Linked DNA regions of Lepisosteus oculatus. The protein of the gene in region 2 purifies or fractionates together with the protein of the main gene of each other region. This does not show direct contact. Links are inferred from orthologs where the notes say so. Each region holds a gene or a part of one and is shown on either strand. Other genes may lie near its edges. The genes, in order: FAST kinase domain-containing protein 5, mitochondrial; mapk4.

What was found.
Region 1: the proteins of mapk4 (region 2) and FAST kinase domain-containing protein 5, mitochondrial purify together in Homo sapiens (affinity purification with mass spectrometry; 3 studies listed by BioGRID and IntAct, with this or other methods). This does not show direct contact. The link is inferred for Lepisosteus oculatus from reciprocal best matches to the Homo sapiens genes MAPK4 and FASTKD5.

What each region holds. Positions count from the first base shown.
Region 1 is NC_090698.1:74,605,247-74,617,033, reverse strand, and holds the start of FAST kinase domain-containing protein 5, mitochondrial, read left to right. Parts: upstream 1-6,643; 5' UTR 6,644-6,803; intron 6,804-10,290; 5' UTR 10,291-10,297; coding exon 10,298-11,787. Other genes in the region: lzts3b (leucine zipper putative tumor suppressor 3), read left to right, coding at 712-1,272. UniProt on the Homo sapiens protein: Plays an important role in the processing of non-canonical mitochondrial mRNA precursors.
Region 2 is NC_090698.1:15,053,812-15,065,743, reverse strand, and holds the start of mapk4 (mitogen-activated protein kinase 4), read left to right. Parts: upstream 1-6,979; 5' UTR 6,980-7,470; intron 7,471-11,932. UniProt on the Homo sapiens protein: Atypical MAPK protein. Phosphorylates microtubule-associated protein 2 (MAP2) and MAPKAPK5.

The DNA.
Region 1 (11,787 bases), about 60 Mb from region 2:
GCTTTGCTAATGGTCTGTAAATAACGTTTCTTTGTTCTTTCTGTCTCTGATTTACTATTGGAATGAGCTTCACGCAGACTCTGTCGACCCCGTCCCTCTCCATGCCCTGCTGTCTCCATCCCCCTCCTGTCCTTGCCTGCGTCTCCTGAGCTCTGTCTCACTCCTGTGCAGTCTGCGCCCCTGGAAGTGCAGGTCTCCAGCTGTGCAGTGCAAAGTGCACTTGAAAGCAATATCATATCCTGATCACAGTTCCCTAGAGGTTCTCTTGCCTGTGTTCCTCACCCTGAGTTGTCTGTTTAAATAGACGAGAGAGGTCAAGACAGAGTGAGGACTTTAGCTGTTCACATCCCTGAAAGGTCTTCCCAATCCGTGTGAGGAAAACTAAAATCCCCCATGAGCACCACCTTCTTCACACACACGGTCCTAATTCATTCTACAACATTGACACCATGGACTCAGCTGACCCAGGTGATCTGTCTCCTGCCCCTCATGCTGTGTCTCTCAGGTGTTTTCTGTGCGGTCCGACCCAAACGGACTCCGAGCTCCTGGGTTCTCCAGGTTCGGTCCAGCGCTGAGAGCTCTTTTCTGCTGCCAGCTTTACTCCCCCCATCTCAATCAAAGCTGACTCTGGAGTCTGTTTGTCCCGTGTGGCGCCCTGGGGTGTGTGTGAGGGGCTGTTCGGCACTGACCCGCGCTCCCTCGCCCCCACAGGTCTCTCTGCTGCGGGACAAGCTGGGCGTGTTCGAAGCAGAGGTGCTGGGACTGAAGCAAGCGCTGGTGGAGCTGGGGGGGGCCGGGCGGGCGGCTGTGCCCTCCCCTCAGAGCCCCCCGGACGGGCCGCCGCCCCCCCAGGCGGACGCCCTGCTGAGCCTGCAGAGCGACGAGGCGAAGGCGCAGCGGCAGGCCGAGGCGGGGGGGCTGCGGCGGCAGCTGGAGAGGCTGCAGGGCGAGCTGAGGCTGGAGAGGCAGCAGAGGGAGAGGCAGGCGCTCAGCTTCGCCAAGGAGCGGCACACCTGGCAGGGCGAGAAGGAGCGCGTGCTCAAGTACCAGGCCCAGCTGCAGCTCAACTACGTGGAGATGTACCAGAAGAACCAGGCCCTGGAGCAGCAGGTGGGCCAGCTCAGCTCCAAGATCAGCCTCCCCTCCCCGCCCACCAGCCTCCCGCTGCCCCCCCCGCCCCCCCCCGAGGACAAGAAGCCCTCCCCGCCCCAGCTCACCCCGCCCTGGGGCGGGCCGTCCCGTCTCGAGCGGATCGAGTCGACGGAGATCTAGCCGGCCTGTCCCGGGACACGGCACCGCTGGCGAGGCAGCGCCGGGCTGCAGAGAGCGCAGAGAGGTTGGGCCGCGCGGACCGCGCCCATCCGGGGACAGAGGAACTGGCACTGACGCTCTGCTGGCCCACTGGAGCTCATCCATTTACTCACGCTGAGCCCACTGGTGGCACCTGGACTGACACGCTGACTGGAGCTGCTGCTGGCGGCGTGCAAACTGGGAGCCTGACACACTGACACGGGAGCTGCAGCTGTCCAGCCTCACTCCTCCTGCGGTCTATGGCCTGGGAGAGCTCCCTGGCCCGCTCGAGGCAGATTAGTTTTGGGGGAGCTGTTTGTATTCCTCCTTCTAAATCTCTCATCTAAGGATAATGAGGGCTACGGTTTTGAAATTGAATTTACCTGAGCTGCAGCACTGACCCCTGGTGCTGATCAACTGCAGGCAGCGGGTCGGTCCGTTAGTACTGAGGCCTGGCGCCGATCCACTGCAGACAGCAGGGTCGGTCCAACAGTACTGACCCCCGGCGCCGATCCACTGCAGGCAGCGGATCACTCCAGGAGCACTGAGGCCTGGTGCTGATCAACTGCAGGCAGCGGGTTGGTCCGTTAGTACTGAGGCCTGGCGCCGATCAACTGCAGGCAGCGGGTCAGTCCAGGAGCACTGAGGCCTGGCGCCGATCCCCAGATCATCACTGAGATGTTCTCGTACTATGGAACACAGGTATTTCCTCAGGGATGCCTCTCAGATATTCCAGGATTAACAGTGAGGTGTTCCAGTAGAAAATACTGACTGCAGTTGCAGGGCAAGAAACTAGTATTTGAGTATGGAGAGCTTAGATTATTACAGTGTAGGACACTGAAGTGTTCCAGAAGGGAAAACACAGATATTCAGTACAGATCATCGTGGTATGCACAGCTGAGATATTCTTGTGCAAATCTGTGAAATATTTGAACATGCAGATATTTTGCAGGAGCATAGAGAGGTATTCCAGTAGAAAATTCCCAGGTGGAGGTGTTCTGTATCTCTGGATTACAGAACGCAGTATGACTGTGTTCCAGAGCACATCTCATTAAAATGATCTGGAACAGAACACATGACCACGTTGTAATGATCCAACTTGATAAGTCAGCTGAAAATGAATTGCATGAGGTCAGCAGTGTGGGGAAGTGGCCAGGGCTCTGGCTTCAGTGGCTTTGAAGACAAATATCAAGGAAATAATAATCCTGGGGTGATATGAGAGTAGACTCACGTCGTGCTCTGAGGAGCTCAGCTGTGTTGTGTCCTGCTGCAGTTCGCCCTGGACTCCCTCCCCTGCCCACCTCGTCCACCCCAAGCTCGTTACACACACAGACCCCCTCGCCACTGGTACAAGAAGAAAAACCTCTTTCCAAGTAGCTGCCATTAAACAAAGTAAAGTAAAAGTCCCTGAGCCACCCTTTACATGAACATTGTTTGCTTCAGCTGCCAGGGTGCAAGACCACAGAGGCACAGAGTGCCTGGCCTGAGAGGGGCAGCATGCTGCACCACCCCCTCTGCTGGTAGGCCCGTGTCAGTGCACACCTGCTAGCGCCAGCCCCCAGGAGCAGACAGGACCTGGCCCGAGGAGAGATTGCGCCTGTGCAGTGGGATTTGGCTCCTCTCTGATAAGTGTGGACTTCAGTGCCAGCAGCGCGCTGCTGGAGAAGATGGAGAGCTGGCTGACCAGCCGAGGGCTCACCTGCGCACACCTGGACTGTTAGTGACCCTGGGAGCCGAGCCGCAGGAGCTGCGATGAGGCTGCGCTCCTCTTCAGATAGAGCATTTTACTTGAAAACCACCTTGAAATTCTCTGTTTCGAACAATCAGAAAAGGTTTAAACAAAAACTGGATCTTCTGGTGAAATTCTAAGAAATGGGGAGTGAGAAGATTGTATATGGACTCAATTGGACAAGAAGGGTAAGCTGGTTCAATACAGTGAAAGAATTCATTGAGTGAAAGAAAGCAATTAGGGGCTTAAAGCTGAATTAAAAAAGCTGTGAGCCTGGAGACCTGTGGACAGCTGTGGTGGACAGGAGAGGGAACGACCCCGGACCCCCCAGAAACTCGCCACCCCACGCAGCAGGTGAGCGGAGGGCACAGCAGAGGGAGTCGAACTCGTGCCATCAAAACACGCTGGAAGATAATCGATCTCACAAACTCCCGCTCTGAAAGCCACAGCAGCAGAGGCCCAGTGGTCGACCCCTCTGGCCTGAGCAGCTGTGTGCCTGTGTGCTTGGTGGGGCAGCAGACAGCAGACAGCAGACAGACAGACGAGCAGACTTGAACAGGGGGCGGGAAGTCCCAGCAGTCACCGCCCCGAAGAGCCTGCCCCATTAAAATGAGCAGTTTGGCACCTGTGACACAACACCAAGCCCAAAATGGAAGAGGAACAACTTCAGCCTACCTTAACCTTGTGCATTACGCACGGCCTGACATATATGCCTGCTACTGGACAATTGTGCTTAATTAAACTGCTCATTCTAATATGGCGGGGTTTTGAGTAACCTGAACATGATCTTAGGAAATCTTGGGCTCCTGAAAATGTCCGTGAATCTGGGAATGTGGGAATCCTGATGGTTTGAGCCCTTCCTGGACCCGGGGTGGAGTGGCAGGGGTGGGCAGAGGGCTGGGGGGGAGAGTGGAACAGCATCGAGTCGGGAAGGAGGAAGAGGAGGGGACTGACAGAGGTGGAGAAAGCAGGAGAGAGACAGAGAGGCAGTATTGCTTCACAGGTCCCAGGACTGCACAGAGCCCCACAGGGCTCCTCGGGGCTGGTCAGGAACCCACAGGGCTCAGTGTGGTTTGCAGGACGCTATAGTGTCCACAGAGTCCATAGGTGTTTATAGGATCCACAGGGAGATATAGGCTACACAGGGATCTGTATAGTGCACAGATCGATACAGGCTACACAGGGAGATGTAGGCTACACAGGGCCCAAGGGATACACAGGGCACTACAGGCTACAGCAGGGGTCCGAGAAGAACCACAGGGTTCCACAGCAATCCACAATGTCCATAGGTCTCTGTAGGGTCCACAGGGCTCCACAGAGACTATAGGTCTCTATAGGGTCCACAGAGCTCCACAGAGACTATAGGTCTCTATAGGGTCCACAGAGTCCACAGGTCTCTATAGGGTCCACAGAGCTCCACAGAGACTATAGGTCTCTATAGGGTCCACAGAGCTCCACAGAGACTATAGGTCTCTATAGGGTCCACAGAGTCCACAGGTCTCTATAGGGTCCACAGAGCTCCACAGAGGCTATAGGTCTCTCCGTAGGGTCTGCTGAGTGGGAGGAGCTGAAGCTGCACTCCACCAGTGTCTTTCTCCTCTTTAGACTTGCTGCTATGTACTTCTAGTAGAACCTGAGAGAAAAGTGTACTTGGATGTAAATATCATTGTTATCGATGTGTACATATATCTATAATGGTATTCCAAGATATTGCGTGTGAATAATTTAAGAGGATTATTGTGAATTAATTAAACAGACACTTCAGCTTTTATTTTTTAAAATATATAAATATATATCTTTACTTTGGGTCTACTACATGGTACAGAAGAAATGAACATATCCAAACTCTGTTCATGTGTTTCCTTTTTATTATTGTTGTTATTGTAATGTCTGAAGAAAACAAAACGCTTCAATGTTTTTTTACAATTCTTTTTATTTATGTTAAGAACTGTAATTGCTTGATTGAAAGCATACTCTAGCTATAACAATAAACCAATAAATACATGAAAAAATACATCTGAGCATTCTACTCTTTCTAGAATAATCTCTCAATCTCTCCATGGTTACAGGCTCAAAGGGCAAGCACTGCTGACCACAGGTAAAGAGGTCCAGGACAGATGTGCTTGTAGCTCCAGGACATTTCTTGTATTAGGAATTTGTCTTTTCACATACACATACCCCAACTTGCTCTCCATGAGACACACAGACAGGGAGAGAGAAGCTAAGGGTGAAAGTGCAGGGTCAGTCATTCATAAGGCACCCCTGGAGCAGCTGGGGTGAAGGGCCTTGCTCAGGGGCCCCTTGGAGTAAGATTCCTTACAGCCACAGGCGCAGATCCTGAGCCACAGAGCCACCACTCCACCAGCACCAGATAGGAGCAGAGGTGACACCATGGTTATTATGTGCGGAAGACAAACCCAGAATGAAGGGCAGTAGTGGAGAAGATCTTATAACTGAAGACCTGTTCCCCTTGACACATTAGTAAATACAAAGCTACTGCAGACATGCTCATAAATCCAAGCTTCAGTGCCAGCCTTGTGATTAATGTGCTTGAACTCCTTTCCATGGGCCCCAGTTACCTCCCGCCTGTGCGGAGTGTGTTGCCAGTCTGCAGGCTCTCCTGACTGGGGAGGTCGTCCACATGCCTTCAGCTACTGGAATCAAGGAGCAATCCCCCGTCCTGGGCTTCAGTCTGCCGTTAAACAGCCTGGAGATGGAGATGCAGAATGAGAGATCAGCATTCTTCCTTGTTAGAGCTTCACAATGGTCACAACTGACGGGAGACCACGTGGCTCAGCTACTGTAGGTCACTTGGTCGCTAGTATCCAGGCGATCAGAGGATCCCAGCCAGCGGTGTCTCGACGCAATCAGCAGCATGGCAGCTTGTTCCACACTCCCACAGCCCCTGTAACGCTGGGGTTCCTTCAGCGTGTGACCATCCTGAGCGTGAGGACTGCGCAGCGCGTCCCTCCTGCTGGACTCCTGCTCTGGACCTGAGCACCTCTAACTCAGAACCAGAACTGAAACCCATAGGAGATGTCAAACACTTCCAATCCTGCATTCACAAAAGCTCACTTAAAAGCAGCGAGCCAGTGCAATAACAGAAACCCTATTGTTGGCCAAAGCCTGCACTTCGGTCTCGCTCACTTCTTCCTGGTTCTACAGCAGCTTCTCCCACCAGGGCCCGGCTCCGGATCTGGGCTGAGGATCGGAGAGCAGGACAGTGCAGCTTTCAGTGTGCAGACTGGAATAATGAACATGATGGTTTGTCTGAACTCAGTTATTTCCACCTTAGTATTGCAAAAGATGTCAAGGACAATACTTCCCAAGCAGCTCTGTAGTCTTACCCTGGCAGAATTAATTGAGTGAACCCTGTCACTGGCACAGCCTTCCTCTAATCACTTGCATTTCTCATACACATGGAGCATATTGAGGTAACCAGTAAAAAAATCCAAACACTAATATCATAATGGCTTTATAAAAGCAGGGACAGATTTCCTTCTAGCGACACAAGTCAGAAAAGATGTGAAAGATTATTCTGCTTGTCTGCCGTGAATTCCGGAGACATCTAGTGTCAGTGTGATACTAACTGCGCATGCTTTCCTTTGTTTTGAAAAACGCGTTACAGCCAGTCCCCGGGTTCTGTTTGTCCCTCCGGGGGTCCTGTACGTCATCGAGTTCGTGACCTTTGTGCGGCGGCCGGTGAGGTTTCGGCGAACTTGCGGATCCTGGACTTGGAGGGGACTGCGGGTCTTGGCTCAGTTGCAGCGTGTCCGGAGAGGAGGTGGGTTACTTTGGCGGGGCTTCGGTACCGGGGGCTCGGGCAGGTGCGCACCCCACATGGTCCCGGCGCGTGTTTACTGCCCGGAGGCAGAGCTGGTCAGCCCAGCTCGGGTGCGACATCTGCTGTTTTACTTTCTCCGCTGCCCCAGGCAGAGCAGCAGGGGGTCGTCGGTGTCTGGGTGTGAAATCTCACACGGGCTCTCGCACGCCCTGTTTGTCCTCCGCCAGGTCCGCTGCTGGAAGCCGTGGACCGCCCACGGGTGAAGGAGGCGACAGAGAGGGTCGCAGAGTTTAGTTTAGGGCTCACACGCCGGGTGTCGGACAGGGAGACCGCTGTGACTTTGGGAAGCTCGGCATCTCTCCGCTAGCCGCTCCTTCAGAGCGTGTAGGAGCCGGAATTAACACAAGGCTGTGCGGTCAGGCCGGGAGCCCCTGAAGCAGTGGTTGGCGGCGCCCTGGGCAGCGTGAGGAGCGAGAGGCGGTGCCCGGCCTCCACCTGGCTGTGAAACAGCAGGGCGCAAGTCGCGGTGTGGAGCCCTGTCGCCCTGTCTGTTACAGAGCTGGGCTCGTTAAATACGTCCTTCCCCTTCTTCTCGCCACGTTAACTGTAGAAGACACCGAGCGCAATCCCGTGTATTTCTAAGAAAATAGCAAGGCTAGTAGTTTAATTGACTATTCGGGTTGGACTTAGAACCAAAAGTCTCTCCAGTCTGGTACACCTGCTGGTAACAGCCATACACACCCCACAGCACCATAGTTCCCATGAGTTTAACATCTTAATGCGGCCATACTTATCGCAAGCTACCCAGCCTGGCTACTTTCAAGAAACAGCTGGAGGAGATCCCTGGATCGGTTTGTAGCCAGCTACTCTATGAGCGAGATCCCCTTCATTTCATCTTCTTGCGGAGCACAGTGGATTGGATTCAGTCAGCACACTTATACTGAGAGGCAAGGACTGTTTTCTTGCAGCGATTGTATTCTGACTCATCAGTAGGCTTTTAGAACTTTTCTTGCGTGTGTTTTTTTTTACATTGCCTTATAACCTGATCCTAGAAGCTGGGGCAGGCTGGGCCTGGTTAGTACTGGGATAAAAGACCTTCAAGGAAAACTTAGCTGTTACTGTAATGGTGTTGGTGGACCAGAAGGTGGCACTCTTCAGTCTGAACTGGAATTTCCAGTCCAGTTCAATGGGGAGTGTTATTCATGGTGCCCGGGCTGAACTCCACTTGTACAGTCTGGTCTCCCTTGACCTACCCATTAATATACCTGCTGCAGCAGTTTCTCTCCTCCCCACAAACTGTGTGCAGTGAGGCTGCTGGTGCAGAATGATCCCTGTGTGTCTCCCAGGTGGGGCTGCTGGTGCAGAATGATCCCTGTGTGTCTCCCAGGTGGGGCTGCTGGTGCAGAATGATCCCTGTGTGTCTCCCAGGTGGGGCTGCTGGTGCAGAATGATCCCTGTGTGTCTCCCAGGTGGGGCTGCTGGTGCAGAATGATCCCTGTGTGTCTCCCAGGTGGGGCTGCTGGTGCAGAATGATCCCTGTGTGTCTCCCAGGTGAGGCTGCTGGTGCAGAATGATCCCTGTGTGTCTCCCAGGTGGGGCTGCTGGTGCAGAATGATCCCTGTGTGTCTCCCAGGTGGGGCTGCTGGTGCAGAATGATCCCTGTGTGTCTCCCAGGTGGGGCTGCTGGTGCAGAATGATCCCTGTGTGTCTCCCAGGTGGGGCTGCTGGTGCAGAATGATCCCTGTGTGTCTCCCAGGTGGGGCTGCTGGTGCATAATGGCCGCTGTGTGTCTCCCAGGTGGGGCTGCTCTTCAGACAGATGAAGTTGGTTCATTCTCTATGTGATGCGTTTCAGGATTCTTCAAGTTGAAAAATGTAACATTTTTTATTGTCATTATCAAATGAAATGTATTCTTTTATTTATAATAGTAGGGCAGTTTGTATTTTAATTTACTTTCCTGAATGCGCAGGAGTCCGAATGCCCCGCTGAGGCTCCTCTGTTCTCGTGGGGACTTGGGGTGTCCTGGTGTCCCCCTGTCAGGGCTTGGCAATCTCAGCTGCTGTGGACGAGTGTGTGGCCGAAGTTTGTGTCTCACAGTGGCGTGTGTGTGTGTTGCCGTGCAGGGGACAGTGTGGCGCCTCACGGTGGCCTGTGTGTGTCTTGCCGTGCCGTGCTGGGGGAGTGTGGCGCCTCACGGTGGCGTGTGTGTGTGTTGCCGTGCAGGGGACAGTGTGGCGCCTCACGGTGGCGTGTGTGTCTTGCCGTGCCGTGCTGGGGGAGTGTGGCGCCTCACGGTGGCGTGTGTGTGTTGCCGTGCAGGGGACAGTGTGGCGCCTCACGGTGGCCTGTGTGTGTCTTGCCGTGCCGTGCTGGGGGAGTGTGGCGCCTCACGGTGGCGTGTGTGTGTCTTGCCGTGCCGTGCTGGGGGAGTGTGGCGCCTCACGGTGGCCTGTGTGTGTCTTGCCGTGCCGTGCTGGGGGAGTGTGGCGCCTCACGGTGGCGTGTGTGTGTGTTGCCGTGCCGTGCTGGGGGAGTGTGGCGCCTCACGGTGGCGTGTGTGTGTTGCCGTGCAGGGGACAGTGTGGCGCCTCACGGTGGCCTGTGTGTGTCTTGCCGTGCCGTGCTGGGGGAGTGTGGCGCCTCACGGTGGCCTGTGTGTGTGTTGCCGTGCCGTGCTGGGGGAGTGTGGCGCCTCACAGTGGCGTGTGTGTGTTGCCGTGCAGGGGACAGTGTGGCGCCTCACGGTGGCCTGTGTGTGTCTTGCCGTGCCGTGCTGGGGGAGTGTGGCGCCTCACGGTGGCCTGTGTGTGTCTTGCCGTGCCGTGCTGGGGGAGTGTGGCGCCTCACGGTGGCCTGTGTGTGTCTTGCCGTGCCGTGCTGGGGGAGTGTGGCGCCTCACGGTGGCGTGTGTGTGTCTTGCCGTGCCGTGCTGGGGGAGTGTGGCGCCTCACGGTGGCGTGTGTGTCTTGCCGTGCCGTGCTGGGGGAGTGTGGCGCCTCACGGTGGCGTGTGTGTCTTGCCGTGCCGTGCTGGGGGAGTGTGGCGCCTCACGGTGGCGTGTGTGTGTGTTGCCGTGCCGTGCTGGGGGAGTGTGGCGCCTCACGGTGGCGTGTGTGTCTTGCCGTGCCGTGCTGGGGGAGTGTGGCGCCTCACGGTGGCGTGTGTGTGTGTTGCCGTGCCGTGCTGGGGGAGTGTGGCGCCTCACGGTGGCGTGTGTGTGTCTTGCCGTGCCGTGCTGGGGCAGTGTGGCGCCTCACGGTGGCCTGTGTGTGTCTTGCAGTGCCGTGCTGGGGCAGTGTGGCGCCTCACGGTGGCCTGTGTGTGTTGCCGTGCCGTGCTGGGGGAGTGTGGCGCCTCACGGTGGCGTGTGTGTCTTGCCGTGCCGTGCTGGGGGAGTGTGGCGCCTCACGGTGGCGTGTGTGTCTTGCCGTGCCGTGCTGGGGGAGTGTGGCGCCTCACGGTGGCGTGTGTGTGTCTTGCAGTGCAGCGGTTGGATGGCGTGGTATGTGCTGTGCCGGAGGCTGGCTGTCCCGCGCCGCCCTCGCCTGCCCGTGGTGTTGTGGACGCGTGAAGACGGGGACACGGGCCCTGGCCAGCGGAGGAGGAAGAGTGCTCCCAGAGAGCAAGAGGAGGAAGATGAGGAGGAGGAGGAGGGAGAGCTGGTGGGCAGACCCTCAGCTTGGCTGGAGTACAGGGTGCCCTACTGCCCCTCCGCCTACCACCTGCCCTCGCCTGGCAGAGCGCCCTCCCCTGCGGCAGGGGAGCCAGCGGAGGAGCCGGACCCCCAGGGCGCCTGGCAAGGAGGGAACCCCTACAGTGTCAGCTGCTCGCGCCGCCTGTCCAGCTCGCAGAACACCCTGCTGGACCTGGCCTTCAGCCCGGCTCGGGCCGGCCTCGGGCCGCAGCAGAGCGCCCCCGCGCGGGCGCCGGAGCTGGACTACGACAGCCTGGAGGACCCCCGCGCCTTCCAGAGCTCGCGGCCGGAGTACCGGCAGCTGTGCCACGACCTGGCCGAGCGCCCGCCCCCGCTGGCGGCGCAGCGCGCCTTCCTGCTGCTGCACCGCGTGGCGGTGCTGAAGGGCGGCCTGCAGCCGGACGGCGTGGCCGCGCTGCTGGCGGAGCTGGGCCGGCTGCCCCCGGAGCTGCAGGCGCCCGTGCGCGGGGACCCGCGCTTCTCCATGCTGTGCCGCCTGGCTGCCGAGAGCCTGCCGCGCTTCAGCGACGCCCAGCTGCTGGACGTGCTGCGGGCCTTCGTGCGGCTCGGCCTGCCGCCCGGCCACAGCATGCTGGCCCTGTACGAGGCCGAGTGCCGCCGCCGCGCCTGCCAGCTGCGCCGCGCCGACCTGCTGCTGGCTGCCGACCTGTGGCGCTGCCTGGGCCGCTCGGTGCCGCAGTTCCTGGAGCAGGTGTGCAGCCGCGTGGGGCATTGCCTGCCGGAGCTCGGCTCGCACGAGCTGGTGCAGCTGCTCTACCTGATCGGGGAGGGCCGGCGCGCGCCCGCGGACCTGCTGCCCCGCCTGGAGGGGGCGCTGCTGCGCTGCGCGGAGCAGCTGGGCCCCGAGGAGGTGGGCGCCGTGAGCCTGGGGCTCTTCAAGTCGCAGAGCGCGCTGTCGCAGGGGGCGGTGTGCCGGCTGGCGGACCGGGCGCTGGAGCTGCTGCCGGACATGAGCAACGCCGCGCTGGTGAGCGTGCTCAAGCTGCTGCGCTTCAGCCACCTGTACCACAAGGGGCTGCTGTCCGCGCTGGCGGCCGAGGTGCCGCGCAGGGCGCCCGCGCTGGGGGCCCCCGCGCTCATGCACGTGGCGCTGGCCTGCTCCTCTCTGCGCTTCGTGGACGAGCGGGTGCTGGAGGCCGTGGCGGCGGAGGTGCCGGCGCTGGCCCCGCACTGCCGCAGCAAGGACGCCGCCAAGCTCCTCTGGGCCTTCTGCTCCCTGGGCTACCAGCCCAGCAACGCGCCGGCCTTCCTGTGCAGCCTGACGCAGCA
Region 2 (11,932 bases):
TCTCCTCAAAAACCTGTTTCAGTAAGTGCAAAAGATTTTATATGGTTCTAACAATCGATTTGGTAGAACAGTCGATGTCCTTCTGTAGAGAAGCCTAATAATTATATTGATGACACTGCAGATGGGATATTAATCTGTTCAGAAAAGAATGCGTCTGATGTGAAGCTGAGAAAAACTGTTACTTTTATTGTGATAATGACTTTTCAGATACTCCAGTATTGGAGCATGCTGGCACACTAAGCAGAAGTGACTTCAGAGGTGATGCAGAGTAGAGGAGTGCGATGCTTAGCCCACCTCCTATAACCTCTGCCTGCAGACACCCACATGCTTGCTGTGTGGAGTATGAAGTGGTAGTTTGAAGATCTGAACTCAACAGCAATCAGAAAAAGACTGCAGTGTTCTTCATAACAAAGCAAAACGCTTGTTAAGAAGCACATGGTGTTTCTCATCATTTTTTGCCTCCAGAACTACATTCCCTTCCCCTATTCTGAAGGTTTTAAAATTTAAAAGGATTTTCAAATTAAATTTAGCAAGAAAGTGTTAAGTAGGTTTCGAGTGTGCTTTTTAGTTGTTTACTAGATGATGTAATCAGCAGAATTTGTAGCGGTCCCGTTTCCAGTATACTTGGTAAAGTAGTCAAATTCACTCGTGATCCCAAAATAAGAGGAACAGCATATGCTGGAGATTCTGCAAATAAAATTAAAATAGAAAAGACTAGGCAAAAATGTGTTAAATCACATTTAATGTAGACAAGTGCAGGATTGTGTGCAGGTAGCAGAAATATAAATTATAGATATAAGATGAGAAAATCTTAAGTATGTGTGTTGACACTTGATTTAAAGCTTCTAGACAATGTAGAGAAGTAATACAGCGAACATGTTACAGTGTATAGTACAAAGTATGGGGTTTCAGTCAAGGAAGGTTATGTCAGTGTTATGTTAAGGAAAGAGGGTGGCTGGTGCAATATCATACTCCAATGACATCCTCCTCATCCTCATCCAAGGGTGGATCTGAAGCAGGGGATATCTCTCTCATCACTGGTGCCAGCTTTCTCTGGCAGGGGTAGTCTGGAGTCAGATCCAGGCAGCGCGATATAAATTCTGTCCCTTCAAGAGGCGAAGGGCCAACACCCAACACCAGGGAGCTGTCGTGACAGGATAAGCAGTAGGGCTGCGAAGTACTGATGCAGGTGCTGTTGCCTTGTTTGTGACTTAATACCAGTAACACTAGAGACTGTTTCCACACAGAAATAAAGAGATCAGGTGAAAGCTGAGATCCTGTCATTCTCATTGAAATAAAAGGAAATGGGTTAAATTGGAAGTCTGGTGTGAATAATGGCGGATGTGCCTTATGAATTATTCCTTACAGAAAATGAAACGGGAAAATAGCTGGATATTCGAAGTTCCATTTTCAACAAAATATTAAGTGTGTTTTGCTTCAATTTATGCTTCTGAGAGTTGGCTCAAAGACGCACACTTTTGTCCTTAAACATAGGAATGCAGGAAATATATTGAATTCTTTGGTTTTATACCTATATTGGGAAAAAGTGGTCTCCTAAAAAAAATAGTTAAAAGTATTATTCAATCATGCAGCTTCGTCACCCTCTTTAAAGTCCACTTCTTTGTCTCTCTTGTCTTGTGAGCTGTTAAAAACAAATTTGAGTGCCAATATCTGAAGAACCAGGGAAAAAAAAACTAAAGGAAGCCTTTCTGCCCATCTAGCGTGTTTGGTAGTTAGTAGTTAATTGATCCAAGGATCTCATCCAGACGTGTCTTGAAAGAAGTCAACGAGATGGCTTCAATCAATTTGGCTTCAACCGCACGGCTGAGCAGCTTGTCCCACACTCCCACAGTCCCTTTTGTGAAGACGTCCCTCCTGATCTCAATTTTAAATGCACTTTCCTGTAATTTCCACTCATGTCCTCCAGTTCGTGTTTCCTTGCTCATTCGGTGGAACAGGAACCAAAACCTGCCGTCAGAAAGTGTTTAGAAAGACTGCTTACGGATTCCTGGGGTGGAAAGCTGGCATTCCTGGCAGCAAGTGACTTTCACATTTGTCCTGCAGTCGCCTCCCCCAGGGATTGTACTAATCCCTGCGCTGTGAGAGGTGACAAAGCCCCTGAGCTGACTAGCCCCAACGTTAATCTAGCATTTAGTGTCATTAAATACTTTTGGACGGTCTGCAGTTTTCTGTGCCATTGTGCAGACAGGCATAGATCTGATTTTAGCAGCGGTGGTGCGTGCGTGCTCCGTGGGATATGATGTAACACGAATCGCTCCCTAGATTTCGTTTGCTGATGTCCTGAGCTCAAAATCCAACCAAAGCCACAGATGCAGGGCATGCAGGACAGAGATGCTTGGTGGTTAACTCTCGTGCTACTGGACTGAATTCTCTGTCAGGTCAGTGCTATTTAAAGTGTGGCAAAGAGAACAGAATTAAGGCAGCAGTTTTGAGTGATGGTTCAGATTCTGGGACACGGCTGTGGTACCCTTGAGCAAGGTGCTTCACTCGAATAGATCACCTTGAGCAATTCACTATCAATCTTTTTTGAACCAAAAATATCACCTGTTAAAAGAAAAGTGTTATGGTTTTGTTTCTACAATAACAGGAGTCCTACAGTATATGCTGTGAACCTCCCATACAGTACAGACTGCTGGACCAGCTTTCATCAAATGTTCAATTATCTTCTGAATCACCTTCAAATGCAAAATCATATCTGTACATCTGTACATATCTGTCCTCAAATCGCAAGTGAGCCATCTTGGCTGATGAAAGAACCCTGAGAAACAGCTATTTTGACCATATGAGGCAGCTTAATGCATAAATGTGAGCGTATTCTGCCTATGGGCACTTCCTGTTTCTTAGCAACATGTAGATAGAAAGGCTTTGCATGAGGTGAGATATACTGTATGTAAGCAGCAGGCAATGAGGAGATTTCTCTTTCCTGTTGTAACAGAAACGGCTGCCAAGACTCTATCACAACACCTACACTCTCTATTAGCCTGTCGCTCTTGTAATTACAGCTCTCTTCACATCCAGGTGCTCCTGCATCAGCCTGTAGCACAGCTGGGGAGGAACTTTAGACCTGTCAGAGGAGGACCAGTCAGGAGTTGTCTATTTGGGGGTTAACTAGTCACAGGTTGACCAGTCGGGGGTTAACTAGTCACAGGGTGATCTGTCAGGGGTGCCCCAGTCACAGACTAACCTGTTTTGGTCCTCGGCAGAAACCTAATCTTTTCCAGGAGCTTTTCTGACTAACACAAAGGCCCATCAAGACTAGGCAGGCTATTTTTAAATGGACAGGGAGAATACTGTTGAATTAGTATCAGGATATTCTCCCGGAGAGCAGTTCTGCGGAAGTAGGGGTTAGGAGAGCTGAGTTGCTGTTCAGGGACCGTTCTGGAAAACGGTTTGTGGTCGGTCCTAGTTGACATTGCTAATCTGTGAGTTTGAAAAATTTCCACAGGCACCCCTCACTCTGTGGAGAGGTTAGGTGAATGACCCAAGAACAGGCTGGACTTGCCTGGAGCAGAGTATTGTAAAGAATACACGCTGGACAGCAGTTAAAGTAAGTTTAAAATGGGAATCATCGCTTGGCACTTAACTAGTTAGAAAATATATAGCATTACATAACGTAGCATACATTACGTAACATTACATGTGTACAAACAACAAATATCTGAGATATTTATACATTATTTTTTTTCAGTGTTAGTACTTTAGAATTCCTTATTTAACGGAAAAATGTGCCTTTGACAGCTTAAAAAAGAAAAAATCAAATCTAGTCCTTGAATCTCAGCATTGCCCTGCGATTAATAAAATTAGCATCACAAGCTGATTTCACAAATTGCGTCACCTTTGGTCTAAAACACAGGTCACACAGATCCCACTGGGAAGGTTTTCTCTGTGTGTGCTGCCTGGAGAACTGTCTGGAGTTTGTGGTTTGTGTTGTCAATTTTATCCTGATTTGTAAAAGAAGCTATATGAATGTAAACACAGTCCAGTCGGGAGAACCTGTTTCATCAACTATTTATGAGTGACTGAAGCTCATATTTTAATTACTTTTTAGGTTTTTGGCTTCACTTGTTATAGTGGCTGTATCCATAAATTCATCTGCTGGATGGGGAGCAGAGAGGGGTAAAGAGAGAGGGACACAGCCTACCCTCTTACTGAATGAAGCTCTCAAGTCAGTGGAACCTGAGAAAAGAAGATTGTAAGCACAATGAAACAGCAACTTGGTAAACTGAAAAATTTTTGCTATTCATGGAATGTGCTTGCCAAGTTAATAATTATCAATCACGTTTCTGGCTGATGAAACTTAAAAATGGTATGTTAGCAGTATGATAAGTTTAAATGAGTCTTTTCTCCGGAGTCAGGTGTATGAGTGGTATTATGTGCATTCCTTTGTCTGAGTCTCTTGCATTCATAATAAAAACAACCCCATCACTGTACAGCAGCCCTCAAGTGTTTGTATACCAGATTGTGAGATGAAGCTCATATACAGTAGCTCATGGATCTTAGGGTCACAACAAATACAGTAAAAACAGAGAAATTGTAACACTAGCTTACTCGCTTGGTCCAGAACAGAATCCTTAACAAAACTCCTCTAATAAAAACAAAATTGATCTTCCAGCTTGAAAATAAGGCCAATGAGAACAGGAAGAGTGTAACTGCATATATACTGCAATGGAAAACACCAACCTCAGGAACAGTTCAAGAGAAAAACCCCACTCTTAAAAATATTTGGCAAAATATGGGGATGCAATTCAAGGAGAAAAACACCATAATTTATTGACTCATGTGAAGGTGCATTTAATTGTGTGCTTTCAATGGAAGGCAGAATGCTTTTTGTCACTCTATTTGGTATTTCATATGCACCTGCTCCAGGCATTTAGTAACACAACATTAGCCTTTACACAGAGCACTTCGGTTTCAAAACCTGCTGCAGAGTAAGTTGCAGAAGTATTCTCGTGATGCCCTGCACTGTGCACTTACAGTAAATGACATTAGAGCTGGAATTCAGTTGCATTTCCTTTGGAAAAGATCAATAAAACAAAACATATTGAGTAAACATGGAAACCCTGCTTGGATTAAACACTTTCATGAAAATATGTGCAGGTATTTTTATGGATCGAGCAAATCCCCTTGTGTTCGTAGAGGGCTCTCTTACATGTGAATCAATTGTGTCTATACAGTCTTTTTTAAAAACCAGCACGTACATGTATTCTGGTTGCTAAGGAATTGGTTGCAATGCTTACAGCTGCGTAATTCAGTTTTATTTTCTCATAAAACTTAACCGCGTGGTTTCTGGGAGGGTCCTGCCTTGTTGGAGTGAAGGGTGACTTTGAGGCCGAACAGAAGAGCAATTGGCAGTTATTTCTGTGATCAGAGCAACGCTACATAACTGGGGATACAACAGCACATCTTCTCCCCTTATCTTAACGCAGACTTGCAACAGGGGAATTTTTTGCAGCGTTATGTAATCCCATTCTGTGAACTGTCAAGGCAAATTAGTGTGCATTCAGCAACCAAGACTCCAGCTGACATTCATTAAAAGCAGAAATATTTAGGGACCGAAGAATTATGGGAATTCTAAAGGATGAAAAGGTTCTTGACTTCTCAGACTCTTTTTTAATAATTCCCCCAATCCAAAAGCATGACAAACACCGAACCCAAAGCATCGGGATTCCCTGATTGGAAAGTCACTCTTCCTGGTGAGGAAACCAGTCCTGGAAGTACGGAGCGCAAGGCAGGGCAGAGAGCTCAGGAGCGCTCTCACTCTGGACAGGACATCACTCCACCACAGGGCAAGGGAGAAAGGGGCAACTAGCTGATCAAACGCATCCTTGAGACAGAAAATTTTTAAAAACACACACTGGGTGGGGAACCTGCAAACTCCTCAAAACAGTTCTGAGGCCAGAATGAAAGCCTCCATGATTCTGACCACCAAAATCCAACGTGTTTCATGTAGGCATTTACTTTAAAACTTTCTTCTGTATCTCTTAGGTGAATTAGCTGCATCGGCAATATCCAGTTTAGAGGTAATGATCTGAGCCTCACAAGCTGTTTTAACTTATGGCTTTCATTTTTCCGCCGAAAACGTTGTGTGGACTCGGCTTGCACCCCGCCTTCTCTACCACCCTACAAGAGGAAATCTAAAATAAAGTGGAAGCCCTTGTGTGCTCTGTGAACGAGCACTACCCGGTTTCATTCACCGTGTATGTCAAGTGCTTATTTCCGTGTAGATGATCAAGTGTGCGAGAAAGCAATTTTCTGCCCCTGCTCAAAACATTCTGAGCTGACTAGAGGAAAGTGGATGTCTGTTGCTCGTTGCCACTCATCTCGTAGCCGAAACGAAGTGGACTCCTTCTGTCCTGTTCTGCGGTCGCTGGATTGTGCGCTCATAAATCACTTATTGAGACTGATCTCAAATGAGTCCGCTGTGTCATAGCACATCTCTTTACCCGCCTCGAGTGAAATACAGGTGTATATTTTATTTTTGTCGTTTTTAAAGTCCTTTAAGATAAATTAGGGTATTTACGGACGGATAAAGGACTGCAAATACATTTTCTATTACAATTGAGTAATTGCTTAACACGATTGTGTTATTTTCTGTTCCAGCCTGTCTACCGATAGATAGCCTCTCCGATCGTCCCTGGCGGCGGTTTCAGAACGACACCAGAGGGGGGCGCACTGGGGGAAGAAGCGTGCAGGTGTTACCCCTGTGGCTTTTTAAGGCACGATACCACAGGTTAAAGGCAACATACCAGTGGGGAGAGACAGCATTTCTTTCACAAAATAAAATAAATATTGGCACCCGTCGTACTAGACTGAGAGCCTAACTAGATTCTTCTGGAGAGTCAACCGAATTTACTGTGAATTTCCAAAGAAGAAACAAAAGACTGAACTGCATTTTGCGTGGGGATTAAGATTTGGTTCTTAAAAGTACTTCTTTTTCATTCATTTCGTTCATTCATCGGTGAAGGGCCAGTGTCGTTCATGCACACCCCGTCGATAAATAGCACCTGCTTTCCAACTCCGCGTTAGGTGAATCTAGCGTTCCCGCTGCCCTGTGCACCGTGTGCAGTTGCTTGAGTCACTGACAAAAGGCTCTGCTATTTCAGGAGGCACCGTGCAAGCGTCCAGCATGGTGGACCCGAGACAGGAGCGGAGCAAGCGGCTCGGGAATGGGGCGCCAAGAGAAGAGCTCAGCGCTGCGGCCGCGGCAGGTTAGCAGGTGGCCGCAGGCTGATCGACGGGCTTCACGCTGACGTCACCGCCGTGGGGGCTGAGCTCTCGCAGAGGAGTTCCGAGCAGGGGGGGGGGGAGTGCGAAGCGAGATCTGGAGCTGAGCAGGTTTTGCGCTATCGATGACATTGTCTGTTTTTAAAGATAACCCAGATTAATTCCTCGCAGGACAATGATGAGCATATCGCTGGTTTAGAACGGACCAGGCGCCCTGTGCTCCAGGTATGTATATGTATAATTTTGCAAGATTGTGTTACTTTCTGTGCACAGTCTGCGGTAATTGTAGTGTTAAAGGGCTTTCTTTCTCTTCTAAGTGCCGCTTCTGTGCGTGTTCTGTGATGGTGGGCTTCTTCAGACATGGACAGAAAAATAAAAAGGGGTTGAATTCCGAGCAACGCTGTGTGACCGGTACAGGAGCACAGGATACGCGCAACTTGTGCAGCAATTTCATAGTGTCTTTTAGAAAATATCGTCTTCCCGTTAGGGTAATGTGTCAAAGCCTTTTATCCTGTAACGGATAGCACAGTGTTGCAATTTGCACAAAGGGTACAATTCGCATCGCACGTAGTAGCGTTCGTTTAAGTTGATAAATGTCGTTATTTCTCGTCAATGTTGTGTTTGCGTCTTTCCAGTCAGCGAAAATACGTTAAAGGAGATCCCTCTTCAATATTACATGGCATATGCATTGTTTATGTGGTTGAGTCATGTCTGTCTGTTAAATATATTCGATCACAGTTTCATTCAATCGAGTCAACATTGGCTTTAAGGCATTATATAACGGTAAAGATAATAACACTTGCCATTCGCCATACGGATATGCATAATTTATTAAGTCTCTGTCCTGTGTTTACAGAGACGGTTCTTTCTCTCACTTTTCAGAGTTCGTGCAGTCACAGCAATACAAACAAAGCCCGTTATGAACTATGTCACAGCAATGACGCTGAGCCCATCCTTCCTATAGAATTAGCGACTGTTTTGTATGGAGAAGAGAGGCGCCCGTGGACTGGAAAGCCGAACAGGACTGAGCGAGAATTGTCCTGAAGTAACCTGCTCGGCGTCCGGGAATATTCGAGTTGATTTTACAGAAGCCGCACTTCGCTGTTTTAATTGCTTGTCCTGCTTCACCTATTCATATGAGCATAATGCAATATATATGCACCTAGATGCTGTAGCTACAGCACCGCGGTCTCTTGATTTTCTGTATTTAACGGCTCTGGTCTAGTTGCGACCCGAAGGGATGTTCAGCTCTGTCTGTACAGGCTTTGCAACGTAAAAATCAAAGGTGCGTTATGATGCCAAATCACAGCGACAACTTTCTTTATAGACCTGTTCATGAATTCCTATTAGAAATCACTTTCTCGCAGTGGCTATCTGATTACCTGTTATGCTTTCTTGTACGTGCCGAGAAAGTATTTAGGTCCAGGAGTGTAAAAACAGATACTGTACGTGTTATATCGTTTTTTCCCCTATCCATTCTCAATGAGCACCTCGCCTAACATGAATCAGTGGCCAGTGGAAGTGACTTCTGGGATTATTTCACACTGTAAAATGGGCGAAAGACTTCCACCTAGTTGCTTTCATGTCCTGCCTCTGGATAATTTAAGACTTTTAGGAATTTTCAGGGGATCTATGCGTTTGGATTGACAGATAACTGTTACACTAAAAACAAAAGTATTGCTAGGGTGAAAAACATTAGGCTGCAGTGAAACAAATAGCAGAGTACCACAAGGATCTGTGTGAGGTCCTTTGCTTTTCCTGATTGATGTCCATATTCTAGATTGTAGTAGCAAACCTGTTAAATTTGGTAGAAAGGTAAGTGAATATTTTGGTTGAGAATATTAACAGACCCAAATGGGCAAAGAATTTGGGTAATGCTTTTATTTCAGCAGATGCCTAAAAAAATGGAATTTAACATAGACTAATTCAAATAACTATTCAATAAGGGCACTTATACATTTCATGGAGCCAGGAAACTGCTTACAGATATTGTTTTTTATCCGGACAATGTGGAAAAGTAGAAAAGTTTGTTATTTAAATGAAGGTAAGTAAAGTTACATTGTATAATAAGCACTAGTTAGACTTCTTTTGAAATAGTGTTCATTGTTGGCCACTGCATTCCAGAGTGAAAATTGCTGCTTTAGCAAGAGCTCGAACGAGATTATATTGGAATGATTCTTTGTCTGAAAGACTTGTTATCCCCTGACAGCTTAAAGAAGTTGCTTCTCGTTTTAGGGATGAGGCAGTTAAATGAGGGTTGGATTCAGGTACTATAACACAATAAACTAAACCCAGAGGAGTCTTGCTGCCTCAGTAGAAAAGGAGAGAAAGGTAAGTGCAGGTGCACTCAGGACTGAGGACTGCTGACAGTTCTTTACACATGATACTCTTGGGAGCACAGTGCCCAGATTTCTAGGATGTTTCAACCAATGGCAGGATGAGAGCTGTGGTTTAACGTGATGTTGGCCACCAAGTTAGCATGATGATCTAATGAAGGCCGTTGAAACAACTCTATGAATGTCCTTCGATACCTTGGCTCTGGGAAGTAATTCTTAACAAAATGGTTTAATGTTCCTCTAAATTTGGTTTCTGTCCAGTTTTTGCCCTTCCAGTAAGCCATGGATTTGTACCCCACATGAAACGGTGGTCCAGGTTGCTCAGTATGGGTGAGCTGAGAAATTACAGATCAGTGATTCTGCACCTTCTTCTCTGTCCCTGAGTTTCATGTGCTTTTCAGACCGCACTGGACGTTTTACCGAGTGGAAAAAAAATTGGTCTCATTTGGCTGGCCTACTTATCACCTTTTTTCGTCTTTTCACATTTCACAGAATGTTCTGCAGGCCTAATGTGAATCAAGATTTAAGTTTGTTTGTTTTTTACCAGCTTCTTTCCTTGACATCTATGCACGGAATTATTTGGCAAGTTCTCCACTAGTCCCTCAGGCTGCTGTTGTTCTGCAGGCCCAGGTGGTTTATGAGGGTCTGATTTCCAGGAAACAGCCTTAACACAAATTCACAGTGCAGTGGTCAGATATGATCAACATGCTGGAGAAACACTTGCAGACCTGATCCATTGTGTCGCTGCCTTGTGTTTGATGCAGAACTCTCGAAGGGCATATATGATCCACTTTTCAAGCACAAAAACACCAACCAACTGAGCGAATGCATCTTAATTCTGCAATGAGGGATAGTGGGTGGTGAGTTTCCGAGATGAATAAAGTGAAGGTGAAGAGTTGGAAGGGGGAGGCTCTTCTTTTATTTGGACAGTTACTGTGCACATCAAAAAACTGCATTCTGTTTGCCTGCAAGAGTCAACCTGAAAAAGACAATGTGGGGAAACAGTGTTCAGGTTCTGATGCATGTTGCTTGATAGAGGAACTTGGGCCTGAGTTGGGTTTGAGTTGTCGTTGGGTGAGATAGTTCTCAGCTGTGTGAGCAGCACACTTTCCAGAGCTCACAGATCGCTGCTCAGCGTGTTCACTGACAGGGCCATTCTGACACGGTTGCCAGACCATGTGATAATTTCTGTTTTACACCAGTTCGTGCTTTCAGTGTGATTAGACCCCTAGATGTTTTAAAAAAGTTTTGCCATGGATTTTAGTTTTCATTTTTAAACCAATTTTCAGTTGGCATTATCTGTGAAAGATGCAAACTGCTCATAATGGCAGGATGTATTTACAAGGCAAATTTAATAAAGGCAAAAATACAATGTGTTCATTTCGGCCTCTCATTTTGTCATTATTGATCTCTTCTGCAGACTGGACTTAATGGGTTTCTTCCACTATCCAACTATATTCCTACTGTATCTTTCTCAATACAAAATGTCACATTTTTATGTTTTTATTTTCAGAAACTCGGATGTACAGATGGAGAAATCAATCACAGTGACAGGGAGCACTGAGTAATATAATTTAACCTAGGTTATTATAACACTAGATGTGACAGATTTTTTTTTTAATAAAAAAAGGTTGTCCTGAAAGAACTGATTCACCATATTAAATTCCACTCGTGGTGGGGGAATGATAAAGGAAACCAAACAGAAAGCTCATCTATATTGTGGAATATGTTTAACTCAAATCTGTTCAAACTGATCCCTCAAATAATGCTGATGAAATATTAAATGTGTTGACCTAGGCTTCATCTTAGCAGCCAGAAAGCAAAAAGCACAATGGTTATTTTTGTCTTGTTTGTGAGCTTCTTCAGATGTCTCTGCATTGAATAGGATGCACCAAAATGGGATTAATCTGGTTACAATGGACAGACTTTACTGCCTTCTATTTCATAAGAAGGTGGGTTTGGGGGGTCATTATGATTAACGTATTGTAGAGCAGAAGTGACATTGTGTTATGTAAGTTTGGGTGTTTGGGTTTTCTGCACTTTGGGTCAAAAGGCAATTCATATTCCATAAACCTAAAATTGACTGTAGATGACGAAGCTCTTGTGAGTGGGCCTAATTGCTCGTCAGTCAGAGAAAGTACTTTGTGATTCACTGCATGGACCACTTATTTTGTTAATTAAATGTACTATATAATTGTTCTATCTCATAATTCTACTTTGCACCCTACTTTCTTGGAATGTAATCAGTGCTGCCATGTTATATTCGTGATTTGCGTGGTCCTTGATAAAATTGGAGACTTTTTCAATTGCTCAGGTCCCGATAGTAGCCCATTGCACATACTGTATCAATG